Linked DNA regions of Neodiprion lecontei. The protein of the gene in region 2 purifies or fractionates together with the protein of the main gene of each other region. This does not show direct contact. Links are inferred from orthologs where the notes say so. Each region holds a gene or a part of one and is shown on either strand. Other genes may lie near its edges.

What was found.
Region 1: the proteins of gamma-tubulin complex component 2 (region 2) and gamma-tubulin complex component 3 fractionate together in Drosophila melanogaster (co-fractionation; 3 studies listed by BioGRID). This does not show direct contact. The link is inferred for Neodiprion lecontei from reciprocal best matches to the Drosophila melanogaster genes Grip84 and Grip91.

What each region holds. Positions count from the first base shown.
Region 1 is NC_060264.1:20,999,883-21,004,924, forward strand, and holds the start of gamma-tubulin complex component 3, read right to left. Parts: upstream 3,152-5,042; 5' UTR 3,024-3,151; coding exon 2,945-3,023; intron 1,809-2,944; coding exon 1,642-1,808; intron 1,567-1,641; exon of another isoform or gene 1,566-1,566; coding exon 1,433-1,565; intron 276-1,432; coding exon 1-275. Other genes in the region: ribonucleoside-diphosphate reductase subunit M2, read left to right, coding at 4,498-4,746.
Region 2 is NC_060265.1:6,773,552-6,781,694, reverse strand, and holds the start of gamma-tubulin complex component 2, read right to left. Parts: upstream 6,072-8,143; 5' UTR 5,967-6,071; exon of another isoform or gene 5,790-5,966; 5' UTR 5,782-5,789; coding exon 5,729-5,781; intron 5,649-5,728; coding exon 5,478-5,648; intron 5,356-5,477; coding exon 5,211-5,355; intron 5,113-5,210; coding exon 4,941-5,112; intron 4,867-4,940; coding exon 4,723-4,866; intron 4,638-4,722; coding exon 4,483-4,637; intron 4,392-4,482; coding exon 4,263-4,391; intron 4,179-4,262; coding exon 4,002-4,178; intron 3,864-4,001; coding exon 3,689-3,863; intron 3,603-3,688; coding exon 3,409-3,602; intron 3,254-3,408; coding exon 3,043-3,253; intron 2,986-3,042; coding exon 2,817-2,985; intron 2,642-2,816; coding exon 2,467-2,641; intron 2,403-2,466; coding exon 2,259-2,402; intron 1,837-2,258; coding exon 1,753-1,836; intron 655-1,752; coding exon 494-654; intron 404-493; coding exon 319-403; 3' UTR 1-318. Other genes in the region: uncharacterized protein LOC107222887, read left to right, coding at 6,258-6,345, 6,802-6,869, 7,030-7,143, 7,235-7,618, 7,865-7,964, 8,041-8,126.

The DNA.
Region 1 (5,042 bases), on a different chromosome or scaffold from region 2:
ATAGCCAAGCGCGCTGAGCCTCAAGACACCCTGTCTGTGCGTTCTGTTTAATTTTGCTTTCGGGTCTATTTGGAATCCATAGCTCGAATCGAGCTTCAAAACCTTTCCCTCTATCCCCTGGAATGAGTAAATAAGATCCTGGACCAGCAGATCTTCGGACACTGACTCCTCGTTGAATATTCTTGCGGGATGTAGAGATGGGCCGCGAACTATCGTCTCTGTGTAACTCAATGGAAGCATCTGTCCCTGAGAGCACGAGACCTGTGAGGTCTGACCTAATTCAAAACAGATGATATGCAATAAGCAGGGATAAATTTTCAGGAAGCCTTTACGTGACTCAGAAACAATTAATGAAAGAATTGATACTATTTTATGATATGGAAGACGAAAATAAGCTAATAAGAAACTCGAATCTGTAAAAAAAACAATGTATAAGACTAAACAAAGACAATGCGATTGAATGATTGTATTATGTTTGTTTATTCTGATTAATCGATTAATTAGTCTTTCCAATTCATTGTTTTTCAGTGAATCGAATAATCGGCCCGGTTTATTAATCATATTTCCGATTAATTGGTGTTTCCAACTCCATTTTGTCAGTTAATCGAGTTAATAATCCTTTTAATTAACTGCTTCTTTAATTAATCAATTAACCGGCATTTTCAATTATTCACTTTTTCAATGAATCGATTATTCGGCACTTTATTCTTCGTACGCTTGATTAATCGTTTTTGCGAGTAATTAATGATTAGATCTTGACAAATATTTATTTTTTCGGCTAATGGTTTGTTTGGCATTATCATTTAATCGTTTTTCCAGTCATTCGACTCTTTCAATTAATTGCTTTCATAATTAATCAATGAAATGCACAGCCCTAAACAAAGCATTAATTACAGTAGAAACTCTATTATCCAAACCATGATCACCTTAACTAAACCATCTATTGTCCGAATCTCAAGTCAAATTGGCATGGAATATATATACATATATCGTAACATATATGTGCATTACATATTTATTGAATATTTTCTAGAGCTGATCATCGCGTCACTTAACATTACTGTTCAACTATCCAAATTTTTGATTATCGGAACCAGGCCTGGTCCAAATTGGTTCGAATAATCGATGTTTTACTGTATAGACGTTTTTCTTTTAGGTTTGGTATCTTTAAGAAAAAATTTTCCTTTTTTTTTGACAAGTTCAGAGTCATTTTTCCCATACTATTCTTAATTGAAAATTCGTAACGAAGTTAGAAAGCAACTGAATTTCTTTTTTTTACAATATCATCAATTAGAAGTGGCTTGTTAATGCGTCCGGCATCAAATGCATGTTGTCACAAATGCATTATTTGCTGTGTTAATCAGTTTCATTTATGAAATAGCACAAAACAAAAATTCAGAAACTGGTACAAATTCTGAGTTTCTTTACGCACGGCTGGTAGATGCGACAGGTGATGTCAGACCAAGCCTCATATCGGGGAACGAAAAATGCCTGTCCTTAGTCTGATCAGCGGTTTGTCCCATGTAAAGCAGAAAAGTCAGGATGCTGAGCCTGTTCTTTAGTGGCTGAAAAAATAAGGTTATAATATCAAGAATTTAGTTGATATGAAAGCAAAATAAACTACAAACAAATCAAACGCACCCCGTCCTTAAGGTCGTTGTGGAGTTTGTCGAACTGAACGGCATCGCGAACTTCAAGTTTTCCCTTGATCTGTACGGCAACATTCATTTCATCTTCTCGGAGTGTTTCGGCACCTGGAGACGAAGAGAGGAGTCCCAATGCGAAACGCACAAAGCGTCTTATAGCCTCTGCAAGTATTTAAACATGCAATTTTTAGTCTAAATTGATTGATGATGCTCTCCTCCTTTCACCTCTGATATATGGATCCTTAACAGGCATGTTTTAATTTAACAATAGGATTGTAAATGATCCGAAAATGTTGTGACCCTGCATAGAGGTAAGAATAATAATATCTCAATTTTTCCTTATATCAAAAAACGTTCAAGTCCCCGCCGAAGTGCTTGCTTTCTGCATTTGTTTTCTGCGATGCCATGGCAACAGCAGGAAAGAAAGATGCATCTGCATGCGAAAAATTTGGGATAGCTGAAAACTACGCGGCTGTAAATTGACAGTAATTTCTGATTATTATCATCCTTGAAAAATAAATTACGGTAATTAAAATATTGGTATCAACAAAAACCATCAAAGGAAAAATAAATATAATATAAGAAAGTAGGAATTAAGGTTTTTTTAACTTCTCGACACAATAAATAACAAGCTACACAAATTAAATATCCAATCGAGATAATAATGGTAGGTGAACTTTATTTTCAATTGTGTAGTGAAAAGATTTTATGCTGAAAATAGGAGCAGAGTATTTCGGCACATTGAGCATAGGTTTTTTAAACGTTTATATGGTTTTCGAATCGATAGTCATTTTCATTCCAACAAACTTATTGCTGATCTTGTTCGTCAGATTGTAAAAGCTATGCGAAATCAAATCTTTGGTAGATACTTTGTAGGAATTAAAAATTGAAAACCTTCTTTGCTTCGTTTGTTATTTCATTTATTTAAATAACATTTAGAGTTAAAAATAATTCTAGGGATGAAACCTAATCTATGACTGTTTCTGATTGTAAATATAATTTTAGTAGAGTTAAAATATAGCAATTAATGTCCAAAAATTATCACAAATGACTGTAAATGATGAAATGAGAAGTAAAAAAATTCCAATCGTCAATGTTTCAAGGTTTTATAAGGTCGAATAACGTGTACAACCAAATCTGGAGATTCTAACAAAGCTGAAATACATATTCAACGGGATTAAACACTTGCATAACATGTCATTGTGCTTAAACACAGACGTAATAAACTCGTAAAAACGATTGTGGCGAGCGGTTAGCCCGGCCTTAAACCAACCTAAGCTAATTTAACGTAACCTAACCTGGTTTCTGATCTCCCCAAAGAGAAACGACAAGTTTTTGGATGAGATCACTGATCGTCTCAACGTCAGGAACGCTCATTTTTATACTCTGTAGTGCAACTGATGCACTTCTACCAGGCTACGGCTGTTATTAAGTTTCTAATAATCATGCACATTTGTTTCCCAGAGAGTGACCATAGAGTGAGTGACACACGGGTGACAGGTAAGCAATTAACTATTTACAGGCGAGAAGCTAGCTTTTGGGCAATGTTGCCAACTTCGATTAGTTAACGCTGCAAATCGATGGCTAATAATCGATGTTTTCAGTATTTATCGTGGTAATTACAGAGAGAAACCTGTAATTATACCATACCGCTAGCCATTACGTAAGCATTACGTAAGCTAGACACGGAATACTACTGGGAGGCCTACCAAGGCCGTGTTCGTAAATTGACTGCCAGTACTAAAAATTCCCTAGGACAGAGACAGAGCCATCCATGAACTCGGCAGCACAAAAGAGATAAAAGATTGCTAACAGTACTGTGAGTCAATTTTCGAACACGGCCTAAATCTAGTCAAAGTCATGAACTTTCCCTTTAGAAATGTCGAATTATGGGCGAATCACTACATTTTTCAGTGAAAACACTGATTCATGTTCAAACCGTCAAAATTTTTCCACCAAAAACCTTCAAAAACCACCAGATCCAATCAAACACCACCAAGTTGGCAATGCTGGTGACGTTTTCACATCTTCCAGTCCCTGCATCGATAAAGCAGCACGTATCCGAAAAACTAAGCCGAAGGCAGTTGTAACGTTACTGTTTTGTCTCTATTTGGCGGGAAATATTGCGCGCGAGCAACAAGAAATAGCGCGGGAAACGGCCGAGAGTAAATACGATCATCTTTTATTACCGAACCGGTACGCAAACGACAAACAGATTTTTTCCCGCCACGTGATTGCCAAAGAAATGAGCATAAACCGGTTAATCGACGTATGAGCAAAATTTGGCGGCAACATCACCTTTTCCGATTGGCCATCACGGTCACGTGCCGCATTGTGTTGGCAAATTGGCCAACCAGAGAAATGAGAAGCGGAGCCTCGATGACTGAGAATCAGCAATCCGAAACCGTTTGTTAACTTGTCGTCAGAAGGTGATCAAAAGTAAACGATAATGGAACCTGAGCATAAATTGCCTGTAATCACCATGCCACTCCAAGTTTCGCAGAAAGAGAATGTTTCCCGAAAACTGGAAAGTCTGCAAATCAAGGAAAATGTAAGTCTGAGTATTTGTAGTGTTAAAAATCATATTTATTCACTGTTTCAAACTCACGCTTAGCGCGGAGCTTGTCTCATTCAGCAGCCTTTTGCAGCTGCGCGTGACGCGCGATAAGTGTTTTAACGTGTGCATTAATGCCGCAATTCACACAGTCACACATGCACATCGTTTTAATTTCCTTACGCGAGTTGTGCTCTAACCGCAAACTGCGTCACGACCTCGAAACGCTTAAATTCGCCAAAACTGGCTCTCAGTCTCACTTTTCGCTTCGCATATTCTGCTTAGTGAAACATCGTCATGCTTACATCCGCAGCTAATTCCACGGCGAAATCTGTAATCCCAGTTCCCACAGTAATCGACGAAATTTATGTCTGTGCAAATGCCAACGAGGACCTCAGGTTATCGGCCACTTTCCTTCTATTCTTTGCTCTCTCTACTACAATTTTTTACTGCGCTGTGAAGCGCAACTTCTTCAGTGCCTCCACTCACCACAAATCGTCTCTTTTCGCCTCCTCTGGTCATCACGATTACTGCAATTATCCTGTCGTACGTATCTACAAATGTTGATGCGAGGGATTGTTGACTTGAGAAAGCCATGAATACATGTTAATTGAAGAAACTAAGCAATTATTCAAATATTTCTTGAAATTACAAGCAATCTGTCAACATAATTAAAATCGTCTTAGAACGACTTGAAATGTTATGAAATCACATGATAGCGCTGAAGAATTCATCCAGCAACAAGTTTTGCAAATCGTTGTAGGTCTTGCGGTAAACTACAAATTATTTCAATTCATTAAAATCAATGTCCAGTCTTTTTATTGATTTCTATTTTACCATGT
Region 2 (8,143 bases):
CTTGTTACATTATATTCTCAGTGAAAAACAACGTGTTCCATTATTGATAAGACAAGGTAATATTATTTATTTAGGTATATTTTCTAATTGCTTACTATGTAAATGGAATATTTAGCTTTGTGCTAGTGTTGTTAATCTACAACAATTTTCAATTCATAACTAATGAATTAATTTGATCTATATCAATAAAGTATGGCATTTATCTTTCAGATCCTGTGTCATTTTTAGCAAAGATCTATAAATATATTCATTTTTTTAGTCAATGGTAGGTACAGTATAGTGCGATCGTATATTATACAATCTGGAAGTGGTCACTTATCAACCAGAAATGTCTTGTTGCCGTGTAGTTTTTTCCATACCCTGCCTTGACAGCATTTCCGTATAAAACATGTTGAAATCCAATCTATATACCGGAAAAAGTGTCATTTTACAATCAGATCAGAATGTCTTTTATGAAAAGTAAAAAAAAATATCTATCTATTTATAAACTTACCGGCACAAAACGTTCAGTAACTTTTCATTATCAATTTCACGGCCCAAGTCACGGATTCTATCAAGAAGACGAACAAGAACCTCCATAAATCTAGTGTCCAGTTTCGTTATTCGCTCTTCAAAACTGCCCTCTTCTGCTCCGAGAGTTGATTCAGCATCATTCTATAATATAAATTATTTCGTTTGAACGTAGGCATTCACCGCAATATAATTGACAGATATTTCATTGAAACAAAAGTTAATTGAACATTGTATATTTCATCGATGGTCCCGCAACCAATGTCTTGTTCATTCTGGTTAAACACAATCTTAGTCAACGTTACAAAAAATAATTTTAATACAGTCTATATCAAGACTGGCTTTTGCGTTTTATCAGCTGACTACTAATGTTCAATGAGAAAGCTGGACAATTGTTAAACAGAGTAGAATTAGATTGATGTTGTCATCTGTTAATTTAAACATGAAAGCGAATGGATTATGGAAAGTTTGAAGCTAGTACTAGTTATAGCTATCACTATTCATTTCCTGAACTTCTTTTTATCTTGTTCTCTTGCAGCAAAGTCTTGTTTCAATTTTGTTGAAAGCTGAAAACGCTAAAAGTAAAAGGACTAGAAACAAAAAATATCACAACTAGTATTATAATACGGTGCTACTGAAGAATCATGTCTGACAAAACCTTCCAGGCAGGAACATAATTTGCAATCACAATGAAGATAAAGAAGGAGCATTCCTGATCATGTTCCGTAAATGTTTCCAATATTACATCTTAAATTTACAAAATGCAAATAACGTTGCTACCATGAAATCAAATCAAAAGCACAAAAATCTTATAACGGAAATACTTCTTAATTCGGCATCATGTTGTATTTCACTTCAACATGTATGTATTTTTTAATGGGCAATTCAGTTTTTTTTCATTTCTCTTGTTGATGCCGTAGATATCGATTCGCGATTTACATTGAGAAAATATTTTTTACATGAAACGTTGTTTGGGAAAAAAAAGCATAAATGGATATTCGTTTTCATGGTCGTAACATGCAATACATAACATCAGTACTTCTTCCAAAAGAACGACAATATCTTCAACAAATACCTAATGATTACCTTTGTTTCTTGCTAATCGCCTAAATTAATACAAAAATTATGAAAATAACGCAGAGATGCAGTCGATGTAATGAATCATCTATCGGCAGCAAGTATCACGCTTTCTAGAACTACATGATGCAGAGCTGTAGCAAACTTATATTTTTAACCGTGTACCTCAGAATCACAGTCACCGACGTCATCTTGACAGGATCCAATCATTGAAGTCAGTTCAGCGTCAACATAGTACCGGCTCATTTGCTTGACATTAGTAAGATGATGTCAGATTAACACAATGACAAATATTCATGTGTTTATTCATGCAGCTTTTTCAGTTTTTTTTCACGAAATTTCTCATAAAATTTCCGTTTTGATAAACCAAAAGGTTCATTTTTCGGTTGCATCATCGTTTAAAAAAATTTTATTAAATTTTGTAACAGTAGAGCCATGTTACAATTTTTAAGAAAACCGTTGTGCACTTATCTCGACCAAAGTCATACGAATAAATCTGCTAGGACTTATTCATGCTTAACTTAACTTCCGTATACGATTTTTATTATTTCTAACTAACAGTGGTTTAGTATTGGTTTGTGCAATAACTGTATAAGTATTATTTCAAATCAATCGCACACGCAATATTGTTATTAAATTAAAAATTGTAAAAGAATAATGAAAATTTTTACCTGCATGAAATTGCAGAATTCGACGCATACAGCACAGAGACTCGTGATGCATGCCAATAAAACTGGATCCGTTAACATGCACTCCTTGAGACAGTTATCCAGTAGATCCTGATGCACGCTCAAAACATCATCCACGTTGCTGACCTGTGCCATAGGATTAAAAATAGTTAAAACTATGTCATTCATTTGATTTCAAGAAATTATATACCTTGCTCATTTTGTTGAGAAATGTGAGCCAGTTCGGCTCTATAACTTCAACCATCATATAATATTCCAAGTGTTGTATACAGTCAAGCATACGTTGTCTCAGGGAAAATGCTTGACGATATGCCATTGCAGCTTCACACGTAAACGTTTTTGCTATTTTATTGCTAATCCACACTCTGAAAAATTAAATAACACTATTTATGATCAATATTTTAATACAGAATTAATTGCTAGAGGAAAATCACTTGAATTAAACTGTTTCCTGCAGATTAATGAATCGTCGCATTTTTCCGTCATTTTAGTTTCTTTGTTACCTTACATAGTACCTTGTACAGTAAGAAAAATACTCACCTACATAATAGCCTTTCAATATGTTTGCAGTAAAATAAATGTCTAAATATCATCTGATAGCAGGCTATTGCTTTTCTGTTTATAATTAGAGAAACTGGCCACTTGACGTCATAGTTGAATACAAAGGCTTCTAATCCAGTTAATGCCGTATCAACTTGAGAACAAAAATCTATAAACAACAGAATCGATTAGTATTTGAATACTTAACAATTATTTTCATCTATACCTTTCTCCCCTTGTGTTTGTATGGAAAGGATTCGGAACATTTGAAATTGTAAATCGTGGGGTAAGAGTTCTGGCTTCAAATCATCTTTGTATGGATCACAATCTGCAGTCGACATGCGCAAAGCCAATTCTAGGAGAGAAGCTAGCCGATGAATCACAATGTCGTACATATTTTTTGCCAATTCCCCTTCACACAGATTCATAAATTGAACCTAGAAAATTGATGTCAGAACTAATTTTTAATAAAAATAATGAATTACGTAAAAAACGATAAAAATAACTATAACACGTTTCTAATAATCGATTTTACTTAAAAATTTTATTTGTAGGTACCGAATTTCTACCATGTTTTGAGTTGTAAACGTACCACGAAATCCCCTTGAGCCAACAGAAAGTAATTCTTAACGCTTCGAAGCCGTCCCATCAGGTCGTTTTCGTGAATAAGGACTTCCAATAGCGTCCGCGCAGCTTCAGAATAAGCCCTGTCAATAGCAGCAATATACTTTTGTCCACGGTGTTGATATTCAAGTGGTTCTTGCTTTCCCCATTGAACTGTCTTACCTGTAAAATGAATTTAGATTTATTTAAAAGTTTGGATTTCTAAAATCAACTTTGAAAGTTATAAAGGAAATTGATAACAAACTCACCACATTGCCTGATAACATTTAAATATTTTCCAGTTCTCAAAATTGTTTGGGCATGTTCGCTGAGGAATACTGGAATTCTTTCGTGCCTCACAGTGTATCTCTTTTCCCAGTAATCGGCAGAATAATCCATTGGCAGTTCTTCACGCTGTATGAGTTCATTATCCTCAACTAGAAACTATTCGAAGTAAATTTTGAAATTATATTCATTGCAATTACATAATATTCTTGTATTTTCAGTGGTATGTGGATTACACGAGAAGCAGAAACTAAAAGCTACAATATTAACGCATATTGCAGAGTAGAAAAAACCTACTTCTTGATACGGATCACTTATAACACCCTTGTAGACCCATTTTTCTAGCGTTTGCATGTAGGGAACGCTAGCTGCACGAATAAGGAACAAACATAATTCCTTTGACTTAGCTTCTCCACTGATATCATTCATGTGTTCGTGTAGCAAGCTCAAGACTTTGCCACCTTTGGCACTCGCCTGCAAAAGGAAAGTGTTGTGTTTTGAAATGCACAAATAAGATGGTGACTCAATAATACTCATAGTTAATAGCTTAAAAACTACCTTGCATATGGTCGACGTGATATGTGCAAGAATTGCCATGGTAGCCATGGTCGGCTGGATGTAAAACCATAACTTCTGTAAGTTGAGTTTGCCACGAATATGTTCGGCTTCCAATTGTACAATGAAGAGCTGAAGTTATTTGAACATGATGAACTTATTGATAAATCCTAAAAACGATGTTCGTATAATTGCTTAATAGAAATGTTTATTATTTGCATACCAAATAATCTTTTAGCAGACAATTCAATGCTCCTCGCAAAGCGTGATTAACTTGACCGTCTTCAGGCAGAACTTTTTCCTCTATAAATCTAACAGTCATTGAGTAATGTGAAGCCAATGGTAATATTTGTTGTGCTAACTGCTTATATGAGGTACCTGAAAAACGATAATATGAAAATGTTTACTGAGATGTTGAACATAGAAAAATTCAAGAGTTATTGCACTATTTAATGATCCTTACCTACGTCTTGTGAGATTACAAAAGATCGAACATCATAAGGATTTGCAAGGGGCTCAGAAGTGATGTACGAACCATCCATCCCTTTTAAACAACACAATATATCCCAGAGTAGTATTGTTTCCTGTGATGCAGCTGGTACAACTTCTGCAATAAATAATTGTTCAAAAGTAATAAACTACAAGATTCTATATGGAGATGGTCAACTTTGATCAAATTACTCTGACAGAAAGTAACAGATAAATCTGAAGGAAAATCCCAAGAAAAACGAGGCCGATCTACGACCCAGTTTTGTGAGACAAGAGGAGGGTCATTCCGCTTGTCGGTCATGCTGATTTGTTTGTTCAATTTCCTTTCACCCTCGACGGCAGCTTTAATAACATTTTTACAAATCTGTAATGTAGGATTATTTCATTAAAACTTTTATGCAACTATCAACAATTTCAAACTGAATACAAAATATTCAAAACACGAAAAATGATCCAACAAACCTGTGGAACATCCTCTCGAGTTATCGTTGAACTTTTGGTATTACTTAAATTAGTGGACAATGCATTCTTTCCCAAGTGATCCTTTAAGTTTTTATCTGCTGATATTAAATCAAGTAGCTGCATAAAGGGACCCAATAGGTCGACGCTAGAGCATCAAATAAAAGTGACCGTTCAAATTTACATATAGGTAATCTTGATCTCATATCTGTTCATACAATAGCGTAATTGAAGTTTTCTACTGGAAAATTGGGAGAATGATTGTCTTACTTTTTAGATTTCAATTCTTCGTATTTTTGTAAAAAGAGATCTGAATCCGGTGCGTTTTTAGCAAGCTTGCGAACGCAGCTCTGAGTTGCGACATTGCTTATTGCAAGATCTGATGATCGGCTGCATCGCTTCTGAAGTTCTTCTACATATTTCTCAGGGGCTGACGAGGACCTGAGGATTATTGCATTGATTAAACTTCATAGAAGCAGATGTAATTCATTTTTTGAGAATTTCAAATTTATATTACATACCCAAGTATCTCTAAAAGTTCTCCAACCAAATGATGTAGCTTGAACTCGCTCATAATGAGTGCTGTTCAAAATAAATTGTGCATTTAAACTTCGTAATTACAATGCCCAAAAAATTCGGCTGAATACATTGATCTTTGCATTGATCGAATCAAGAAAATTCGCACTTATTTCGTTTTACTGTAAGTTTGACTGAAGATGAAATCTTTCATTAATGCTGCATTAATTACAACCGCCTCACTTGTTAGTTCTATCTCTACTCGTTGTCGCGCCCATAGGTTTCTGCTCGTCTGCTACTCCTTTTCGCTCGCACCTGTCAGTAAATGCCAAACTGTCGGATTTGCGTTTTGTCAACAACCAGAATCATGGCCTTCCAATTTTTTGTGGCCTTCCTAATGAAATGTTCACTTCCGAATGAAATGTTGTAATCGTTTACTCAAGAAGATGGTGCAAATCAATAACATTCGGATAAAAATGTAAAGAAAATACCGAGTCAGGTTATGTTATTGTTGTGTTTCGAAGAGCCGCAAACATGGTTGGCAAAGAGCCGCAAGGGGCGCTGTTGGTGATGAACAGCTGTCAAGATCAGAGGGCGCAGCTATCGGCGATTGTTACAAAAGGTAACCAGCGATCTTTTGCGAATCTGAACCAATTCAAGATAATTTAGGAAACAATTTTGACACTTGGACTTTGAACATTAAATGAATTGATTCTGCCGGTGCATATAATTTTCTTTCGAGTGATAACTTTCCGTAAGTACGCTGTACCAGTTTTTTGGCATAGTGGCATAAAATCTTTAATTATTGTCGTCATTGTTCTATAAATAATGGCGCCAGCTTATAGCAATTTCTCTTAATTCAATCTTACATCTTGTTTATCTTTATTATTCATTACAAATGTTCAGAATCAGTAACATGAAGTAAAACCAATTTCTTTCTTTTGATTTTATATAGTATTCTAGTGTAAATATCGAAATATTTCGGTTCTATCACACGAGACAAGAATGAAAAGTTTCGAAATATTGAGGCCATAAATATCAATGTGTAAAAAAAATTCATAAATAAATGTTTTTTCAGGTGAAAAGATGGAGGGTAATCAACAATTCAACCTACGATGGAATAACCATACGAACAATATTTTGCAGGTAAACAATTGAATACATACAAATTATAGTAATATCACTCAAGCTTCACTATAATTGCTTCAAGAAAATATTACTTACACAATCTTTAATATGATATACAATGATAGCATGTTTGTAAATACTTTGAACTTAAATAATTGGTAATATGATTTTCTTTCAGGTATTCATGGAACATTTATCGTCAGAACAATTGGTTGATGTAACTCTATCTTGTCAAGGGCGATTCGTAAAAGCACATAGAATAATATTGTCTGCGTGCAGTCCATATTTTCAGGTAATTTCTATGTGAAGCACAGAGTTGGGGCTCATTTATTGCCGGAACAGGAAATATTCAATAATTATTATAAAATTCGATATCTTTTCAGGAACTCTTCAAACACCATACTGCAAAACATCCTGTGGTAATTTTGAATGGTATCAAGTGTGAAGATCTTCAAATGATCATTAAATTTATGTATCATGGTGAAATCCGTGTACAAGAAACCGAATTAGATGACTTACTTGCTGCGGCTGAAACACTTCAAATCAAAGGTCTTAGCAATGTTCGAAATAAATATGAGAAAGGTGAAATACAATCACAGAATGTGAAGAAAAATTCAGTGCCACCACAAGAGAATAATACCAGGAAAAAAGTTGCACCTCAAGTACTGGATAACTCACGTAAAGCTACGAAGAGTACAGAAAAAAATAAACTTCCACCAACTGAGCCACCTCGTGTTCGTAAACGGCGCAAGATGTCACATACTATTGTATGTTTGCAGTTTTAAAATTTATATGTAAATATCGAGGGCTAAAGACCAAAAAGACGCAACCCACTGTTTTTCCGATTTGCAGATTACATCTGCTATTCTAGATTTTTATTGCATACCCCTTCACGACAGTAAACTCATCGAATGCTGAATAATTGTATTTTATGCTCTTTTGGTTCCTAGCCCTTAATATCATGAGTTATAAATCATTTATTTGTCCCTTGTTGATTGAATTCTAATTTGCAGAATGAACTGGCTAAGGAAACAGTATTCACTAGTAATGGAGCAGTTTGTTTGACTCCCCAATCAGTAGGAAATGAAACTGATCCAGTGGTACCAATGGTAGGTTCGTAGATGAAAATTTCTAAATTGTACAGGAAAACGTAACGGCTGCTTTACTCTGTGTTTGAATGTGATGTTAGTATACTTTTTTCAGATCAAAGTTGAGCCGCCCGATATAAAGGATGTTTCTGATGAGGATGAATCTCATTCTCCATCCTCTAGTGAGGTAAGATAGACTGTTAT